2 linked regions of the Saccharomyces cerevisiae S288C genome follow. Changing the gene in region 1 together with any one later gene gives a genetic interaction. Each region holds a gene or a part of one and is shown on either strand. Other genes may lie near its edges.

Evidence for each region.
Region 2: mutations in SNA3 (region 1) and FRM2 together harm fitness more than expected from each alone (negative genetic interaction), as found in Saccharomyces cerevisiae (one large-scale study listed by BioGRID).

The regions. Positions count from the first base shown.
Region 1 is NC_001142.9:134,821-139,830, forward strand, and holds SNA3 (Sna3p), read right to left. Parts: upstream 1,954-5,010; coding exon 1,552-1,953; downstream 1-1,551. Other genes in the region: inositol-3-phosphate synthase INO1, read right to left, coding at 1-1,113; SCF ubiquitin ligase complex subunit DAS1, read left to right, coding at 2,559-4,550.
Region 2 is NC_001135.5:73,151-77,285, reverse strand, and holds FRM2 (type II nitroreductase), read left to right. Parts: upstream 1-2,000; coding exon 2,001-2,582; downstream 2,583-4,135. Other genes in the region: amino acid transporter AGP1, read left to right, coding at 1-1,268; HBN1 (putative nitroreductase), read left to right, coding at 3,300-3,881; FUS1 (Fus1p), read right to left, coding at 3,945-4,135. UniProt on the Saccharomyces cerevisiae protein: Type II nitroreductase, able to reduce 4-nitroquinoline N-oxide (4-NQO) into 4-aminoquinoline-N-oxide (4-AQO) via 4-hydroxyaminoquinoline (4-HAQO), using NADH as reductant. involved in the oxidative stress response.

The DNA of each region.
Region 1 (5,010 bases):
AATCTCCTTAGACCTAAATTGTTTTGGAGCAGATAAGTTATAACCGTCATTATTGCCTAAATGGTTATAGGATGCAATGGAGACCGGTTTAATACCTGCATCCACTAAGAACTGGGCCAGAACAGACTTCAACTTGGTTTGTCCCGACTTGAGATCGTCTCCCGCAATGAATGTACCCTCATGCTCAGCCAGCTGAACCAAGCCGGGAACAAAAGTATTCTGCGGTGAACCATTAATATAGGGGACACCTTCCAAGATAGATGCTGCTGCAAAGATCGTGGAAGGAGCAATCTCTTCATGGTCATTCTTAATAGACTGCAAGAGGTTTTCCATGGTGTCATTAACACCAGGAGATACTTCTACGTACCTCTCAGTATTTGCAGTCCAAAGAACGATTACTTTATCAAGGGCGTTTTCTTCTTTGAAATTCTGGATATCGCGTCTGATGCGTTGCAGATGGGTCCACTTACCCCTCGTGGTTACGTTGCCTTTTTCATCCAAATTGATGCAGTTATTGGCTCTCTCATCTTGATTAGCTGCAATGAAATCAGGGTAGTAAATGGAAGGAAGAGGCTTCACCAAGGACATCTTCGCCTTCAAGCGTTGTTGCAGATCATATTCGAGAACTTGACTTCTCTGCATAGCTTCGTATAGATCTGCGTTATTGATGTCCCAACCAGAGACGACAAAGTCGTTTGGGCTAACCATGGGCAACAGAGAGTTAAAAGGAGCATAAACGTCATTCCCCTCCGCATCGATACCCAGTTTCAAGGTAGAACATTGAGTCATGGAGCCGAAGTAGTTTGGTTGCTTAACGCCTTCCTTAGTTTGAAACTCCACATTGTGCTTATTCGCCAATACCGAGGCCACTAAAGTGGAGCCATTGTTGCCACCTAACCCAATGAGCATAATTCCTAGTTTTTCCGGCTTTTTCAAGTCAAGTTTGAACACGTAGTCTTGAACAGTGGGCGTTACATCGAAGCGGCCACTAGCTGTCTTCGTAACTACAGCATTTTCGTAGCTGTACTTGGTGAGCAGCTCGTTGTCCTTGTACGTGCACTTGTCGGTAACTACTTTAACGGAGGTGATTGGAGCAATATTATCTTCTGTCATTGTTACTTCTTTTTCACTGGAAAAAAAAGGGAATGAAACAGAATAAATCAAGGATAAAACTAACATTAGGAACCCGACAACAGAACAAGCCAAAAAAAGGTGACGAAAGCTCCAATTTATATACGTCTCAAATTAACATTGCCGCCAACGCAGAGGTGCGCTTTCTCTGCTCCATGTGAATTAAATAAGTTCAATATTCTGGGAAAGAAGGATGAAGATAAAATAGACAATACTTTTCACATGCCGCATTTAGCCGCCGAAGCGCATACTTGGCCTCCGCATATTTCACATTCAACACTTTCGATTCCGCATCCAACCCCGGAACACCGGCACGTATTTCATAAAAAGGACGTGAAGAACAAAAGGAACGAAGAAAAAGGCAATAATTTACTCTATGTGTTATTTAGAACTACGGTGATAAAGAGCTCGTTCCGATCACTAAGTACGGCCGGAAGAGAGCTGTTGTTTGTTGTCCATCAAGGGCACATCGGCACCGGCCTCATCGTCTTCATCATATGCTGGAGGCTGTGCTTGAGATTCCTCTGCAGGGTGAGCTTCCAGGTCACGGTCTACGGCGGGCGCAGTCGCATGTCTGCGTGAAAGATCGTACGAACGTTCACTACTCGTTTCATATACAACGTAGCAAGCGTGAATGATTGCTGGGAAGAATAACAGTAGGAAGAGAAGTAAGTTCAATAGTGTATCCCTGTTGAACATACCCTTACGCTTCCAGACGGCCACTGGGGGAATGAAAACCGCCAAAACCATTAACAACAAGTCGTCCTTGTTGATGGAATAGCTCATTCGATGGTCATGGTCATTAATATGGTCTCTGTCCATTTCTAAATTATATTTGGTTGTTTGCTTTCTGCTGGGTTTTTATTTTTTAACCTAGCCCCTTTCCTGCAGCTGGCTCATTCGTGCTGTACTCTCTTTCCTTTATATACTAGTGAGACCTTTTCCCCCGTTCCCAAAAAGAAAAAAAAAAAAAAAAAAAGAAAACGAGCCTTCATCACGTGCATTAAAGAAATAGTAATCCCAACGCACTCATCCGCTATATACATAGCGAAAAACTATATGCCCACTTCACAAATACGAGTTTGCATGTATAATATATAAGATTTATAAATGTTGTAGGGTGAATGTAAACGTTCAGTAATATACCGGTATATCTATCAAGATACGATCAATGCAACGCTTTACTGCACTGCACTACACCCCTTTTCCTCTACTTGTTTTTCTTAGTTCCTATTTCCCTCTCAAAATGCACCTGTTCACCAGAGTATTCTTTCTCATTGCAAGTATTACCCTACTTTATCGTCCCACACAAAGAGGAATATATATAGATTATAAGCGAATTGTAGATTTCGATGGAGATCTGATTTCCGTGCAAAATATCCAGGACGTCTATACACAGTGTTTACAACTCAGCTTATATTCATATCATGCCATTTCAAGATTATTTTCAGAAGAAAAAAGCAGCGTTCATTAACAGAAACAATAAAAGTAACGCAGATGCTTCAGCGCTACGAGATATTAACGATATTAACATAAATTTCGCCGCCAAGAGCAAAAACTACGTGTTCCCGCTAACAAAGCTCCCCGATGAGCTCATGCAAGAAGTATTCTCTCATTTGCCGCAACCAGACCGCTTGCAGCTTTGCCTTGTGAACAAAAGGTTGAATAAGATCGCTACCAAACTGCTTTATAGAAGAATATATTTGAACGACTCAAATGTAGTGAAGAGTGACTTCATGCATCTCGCAATTAATTGGACCCTACTGAACTTGCCGTCTTCGTTGAAAGAAGAGGAGTCCCGCGATATCGCCAACTGCAAATTGAAAAAACTTATAGAAACACTGCAAAATAATATTCACATTACTGAAGTCATCCAGTGGATAAGGATCAACTGGGATTTGGACTCTACCTTGCAAAGGTCCATTCTCAGCATCCTTTGCAATCAGGGCAAGTCCTTGCAAAGACTAGAAAACGTCACTGACCCGGCTTGTAACGATATCATCTCCAATGGTCACTTTTCCAGGAGCAACGTCTCAAGTTTCGACATGGCTCCTCCAAATTCATTGCCTGAGATGGTTGTTCCCGAAAATTACATTCCGAATCTCACCAAATATCTTTCACAGCGTATCTCTTCTCGGCTTTCTCATATGACTTTATTCATCGACCCTTTAAAACTGTTCAATTATCTTTACCCTTTAGATATCAAGTTACAAATCATCGATTTAAAATTGCATTGGAGGAGGGAGTTTTACAATAATGATTATTTTGTTAAAAAGATACGACCCGGCAATCCTCTGACTAAACTATCGGAGGTTTTTGACAAGAGGACATTGAAAATTCTTACCATCATTTCTTGGAATGACACTTTGTTAAAACGCGAGACAGAAATGCTGAAAGATTTTAAAGAATTTGAGAACCTGGAAGATTTGTCTTTGATTTCTATTAAGCAGGATGTTCATATCCTCGTAGATCTTTTTAGTTCGTTAACCAATTTGAAAAGACTAAAAATGGATTTCTTAGAGGAGTATGTACCTGAACCCACAAATCCTCACATATTTCTCTCCATTCTTTTAGCTTGCTCCAAATTGCAATTCATAGATCTGAGATACGACGGTCTTATCCCACAAATCATCAATATTCAAGAAAATAAGTTCCAACTAAATCAGCAATGCAACTGCACAAACTGTCAAATAGTATTCAGTGACATTCTGAAGGGCAAAATATTCATGTTCCCTGAAGACTACTATATTCACGATCTTCAAGACATTGCTGCAAAGGATATTTTTAAAATGATGAAATACCTATCTTTGTTACCATACTCTAAAGCTTGTGATGCTTATCCGAGCGTTAGAACACAACCAATGAATTTGACTAATTTTGTGACCAAGATGAACCGCAACCTTTTGGAATATAGAAATTCTAAATCCCAGTTGGTGCCCAAAATCGTTAATAACCCACATCAACACTCCACCGTGACTTCCACATCAACCGCTCATATGAGCGAGCCCGAAATGATAATAATCGATGACGATGATGATGATGATGAAATTAATGCGGCCATTCCTCCAAGTAGTGATGACACAGCAGCTACAATTTCCACTGACCTGGAACTTCCTCATGAATCATTGACCAAAAGAGATATTATTATGTGTTATCACGCTCTTATCCATCACTTCAAGTCGATTTACGTTACTTTTTTGAAAAGTTTTCCTCATTTGAGATTCTTGATGTTGAATGACATTCCCACAATAGTTATGGAGGAGAATAATGAACGTATTTTTGAACCCGTCTTTTATCATTATGATTATAAGAGTAATCTGTATGGATGGTCAAAGGAATCGAACAAGAATCTGGAGAACGACAGCAACAACAACAATAATAATTCTGATACCATTGCAAGAATAGCCACTGTTATGTAATCAACTCCCCTTCAAATATATATATTTAATAATATATATTCAACGCATTTTTTAAGCTAGCAGGATTCAGATTACTGGTCTACTTCATATTAAGGAAATACAAGATCCATTCGGATGCTAGAAAAAAATCAACCAACTATTCCAATGTTGGTAAGCTGGTTTGATAAAGTAAACACAAGATACTACAGTATACGATCACTCAGACATCCTAGGAAGGTCTCTAAAGAAGAGCGGTCACCGAGAGTACTAACGATGGGTTCGTAAGCGTACTCCTACCGTGGAAACTGCGAATGTTAAGGAACCAGTCTTTCATCACCGTGATCATAAATTATATATATTATCTGTCTCCTCAAATTACCCACATTTGATAATCTCATGAGAAAAAATAAAGGCTCAGATCTGCATGTGTTGTATAACACTGGCAAGAAAAGTTCCCGTTTGCAAACACAAATGATTAAAA
Region 2 (4,135 bases), on another chromosome or scaffold:
GTGTGTGTCCTCTGGAATTGGTGACCGCATCCATGACTATCAAATATTGGACGACATCTGTGAACCCGGATGTGTTCGTCATTATTTTCTATGTTTTGGTGATTACTATTAATATTTTCGGTGCTCGTGGTTATGCAGAAGCTGAGTTCTTCTTCAACTGTTGCAAAATTTTGATGATGACTGGGTTCTTCATTCTTGGTATTATCATCGATGTTGGTGGCGCTGGTAATGATGGTTTTATTGGTGGTAAATACTGGCACGATCCGGGCGCTTTCAATGGTAAACATGCCATTGACAGATTTAAAGGTGTTGCTGCAACATTAGTGACTGCTGCTTTTGCCTTTGGTGGTTCAGAGTTTATTGCCATCACCACTGCAGAACAATCTAATCCAAGAAAGGCCATTCCAGGTGCGGCCAAACAAATGATCTACAGAATCTTATTCCTATTCTTGGCTACCATTATTCTACTGGGTTTCTTGGTGCCATACAATTCCGATCAATTATTGGGTTCTACCGGTGGTGGTACTAAAGCCTCGCCATATGTCATTGCTGTTGCATCCCACGGTGTCCGTGTCGTCCCACACTTCATTAACGCCGTTATTCTACTTTCCGTGCTGTCCATGGCTAACTCCTCCTTCTACTCCAGTGCTCGTTTATTTTTAACTCTATCCGAGCAAGGTTACGCTCCTAAGGTTTTCTCCTACATCGACAGAGCCGGTAGACCATTGATTGCCATGGGTGTTTCTGCATTGTTTGCCGTTATTGCCTTCTGTGCTGCATCTCCCAAGGAAGAACAAGTTTTCACTTGGTTATTGGCCATTTCTGGTTTGTCTCAGCTTTTCACATGGACTGCCATTTGTTTATCCCATCTTAGATTTAGAAGAGCCATGAAAGTCCAAGGGAGATCTCTTGGAGAATTGGGTTTCAAATCTCAAACTGGTGTTTGGGGATCTGCCTACGCTTGCATTATGATGATTTTAATTCTTATTGCCCAATTTTGGGTCGCTATCGCCCCCATTGGTGAAGGTAAGCTGGATGCACAAGCCTTTTTCGAAAACTACTTGGCTATGCCAATCTTGATTGCACTTTATGTCGGCTACAAGGTCTGGCACAAGGATTGGAAACTGTTCATCAGGGCAGACAAGATCGACCTAGATTCTCATAGACAAATCTTTGATGAAGAATTAATCAAGCAAGAAGACGAAGAATATAGGGAACGTTTGAGGAACGGACCTTATTGGAAAAGGGTCGTTGCCTTCTGGTGTTAAAAAAAAAAGCATTTACTTCTTTTATATTTATTCATTTTTGTACTTCTGTTTTGTAGTAATAGCATACGTGTAATGATAGACGATTTTCATTTTAATTCTAGTCCTTTATGAGCGAAGAAAAAAAATAAAAAGCACTAACGATTGCGTGATGGAAGTGGAGAGGAAAATATAAGTGAAATAATATGAAGTGAGAGAAAAATGATTTCCTTTTGTTCTTAATGCAACAGAAGAGGTTTGATTTCATCCGCATATGCAATTTTGCCTTAGTAGGGGTGCAACCGTTTTCGTCGTGCATCAGGAACGATCTTCTTGCCTTTTTTAAAAATCTACGTTAAGAATTTTTAATTTTGTTAAGGTGTAATTAGCATTAGAATGACTGAAGCATTCAGTTTAACCAACTTGTTCTGCGATATTTTTACTTCTGAAATAACAATGTCTGCGAGTGTTACTTGATTATTAATCAATATTTGTCAATGCTCTTCCGAATAATTTTTCAATTTGTCAGCTTTGCTCTGCGCTTTTCCTTACTGCGACAATAAATGGCAAAGGAAAAAAAAATACAGTGTCATTTGCAGATATGACACACTTTAACACCTGAGTGGGTCATCACTACTTTGTGTTTGTCTCCACCCATGTTGTGATCGAAGAGAGATATAAAGGTTGATCATTTTTGGTTTTTTAAAGCTATATACACCATCAAAATCAAGAACACCAGACCTCCAAGCCAAAGAAATGTCCCCAACTGGAAACTACTTAAACGCTATTACAAACCGTCGTACCATCTACAATTTGAAGCCCGAATTACCACAAGGTGTCGGTTTGGATGATGTAAAGAGAACTGTACACGTTATTCTCAAGAATACGCCAACAGCTTTTAACTCACAAGTGAATCGCGCTGTCATTATCGTTGGTGATACACACAAAAGGATATGGGATGCTGTTGCGAGCGCAATGCCAACTGCTGAAGCCAAGAAGAGACCAGAGTCTTGCAGAGATGAGGCTTACGGTTCAGTCATTTTCTTCACTGATGAAGGACCAACTGAAAAACTGCAAAGAGATTTTCCAGCCTTGGCAGCCGCTTTCCCAACATGCGCCGCTCATACGACCGGTGCTGTGCAAATTCAGTCTTGGACTGCCCTCGAACTATTGGGATTGGGGGCTAATTTGCAACACTATAATGACTACGTCAAATCTGCTTTGCCTCAAGATGTTCCTATTGCGTGGACTGTACAATCTCAATTGGTCTTTGGTGTTCCAACTGCCTTGCCAGAAGAAAAGACTTTTATCAATAACGTAATCAACGTTTATCACTGAACAGGAAATTCGCATATGAGGAGATCTTAATTTATCTCATGAAGTAATGATACCTCAGCGATGTGCTCGCTCGTTAGTATGCTTCATAAATTCATTATTATTTTTTTTTGGAAGTGTTTTTCGACAAAAGTTGCATTTTTACGAAGGATATGTAAACTCAAGAAGTACTAAATAAATATAAATACAATTCGAAAATTTGAAAAAAGTAGGAGACAACACTTTCCTTCCTCACGAAGAAGTTAAGCTTGGGTTTGTGACTTACTAACGTCAACGTACAATCGCGTTACAAACAAGATGCTTGCATTCTTACCTTACATTACAAGGACTTAGACGAAGAAAAAGTTCAGAAACACTGCTTACACTATTCACCAGACCCGCTCCTTCTCCTAACATCAATAACGAACAGCACTATTGATGTAAGAACGTCTTAGCTTAGTAATAAAGCTCTACCTTGTTATCGTACAATAATCCAGTATACCGCTTTTACTAATGATTATTCGAGAAAAATCGGACTGTGGCGTTTTACGTGAAAATTACGTAAAGAAAAAGATCCTGGGGTGCCTCGAGCTTTTCGGGCTAGGGTCTTGGCATTTGCACCTTGTCCAAACTACAGTATATAAGGACACCATACTGAAGGAACTGACTACATAATTTGTACTTTTTTCGTAGACTGAAGTATCCTATATCAACATATATACAAAAAAACAATCCAATATCATGTCTGCTGTTGCAACTTATTTGAAAACTTTAACTGCTCGTCGTACTATTTACGCTTTGAAACCGGAGTTACCTGGTGAAATTACTATCAACGACATCCAATCCGTCGTCCAAACCATCATTAAAGAAACACCCACCGCTTTCAACTCCCAGCCAAATCGCGCTGTTATCTTGACTGGTGAAACTCACAAAAAAGTTTGGGACGAAGTGACTAAGGCTATAGAAAGCCCTGCCGGTCAAAAGAGGCCTGCTTCAGCAAGGGATGAGGCCTTTGGTTCTGTAATCTTCTTCACCGACGACAAGGTAACTGAAAAGCTAAAGGCTGACTTCCCAGCGTACGCAGCTGCATTCCCTAGTTTCGCGGACCATACCTCTGGTGCCGCTCAAATCAACTCGTGGGTTGCCTTGGAGGCAATGGGCCTGGGTGGTCACCTACAACACTACAATGGTTACATAAAAGCTGCTTTGCCAAGCAAAATCCCTGAGTCTTGGACCGTACAAGCTCAATTAGTCTTCGGTACCCCAGCCGCACCTCCAGGTGAAAAGACCTACATCAAAAACGATGTTGAAATCTTCAATTAAGGAACAGTATATAAGTACAGAATTATAGGTATAGATTAAATGCGAACGTCAATATTATTTTCATCAGTCGTATTCTTGGAGACAGTCACCAGGCACAATGCCTCTATCTTCATTGAGGTATCTTTTATCGTCAACACTGACGTGAATAGAACCCTTTTGTGTATTACACTTTTCTACCAGACACCATCCATCGGTATGAGTGGCCAGAATTTTAACTTTTTCACCCAGCGAGATTCTTATTTCGTCTGTCAATC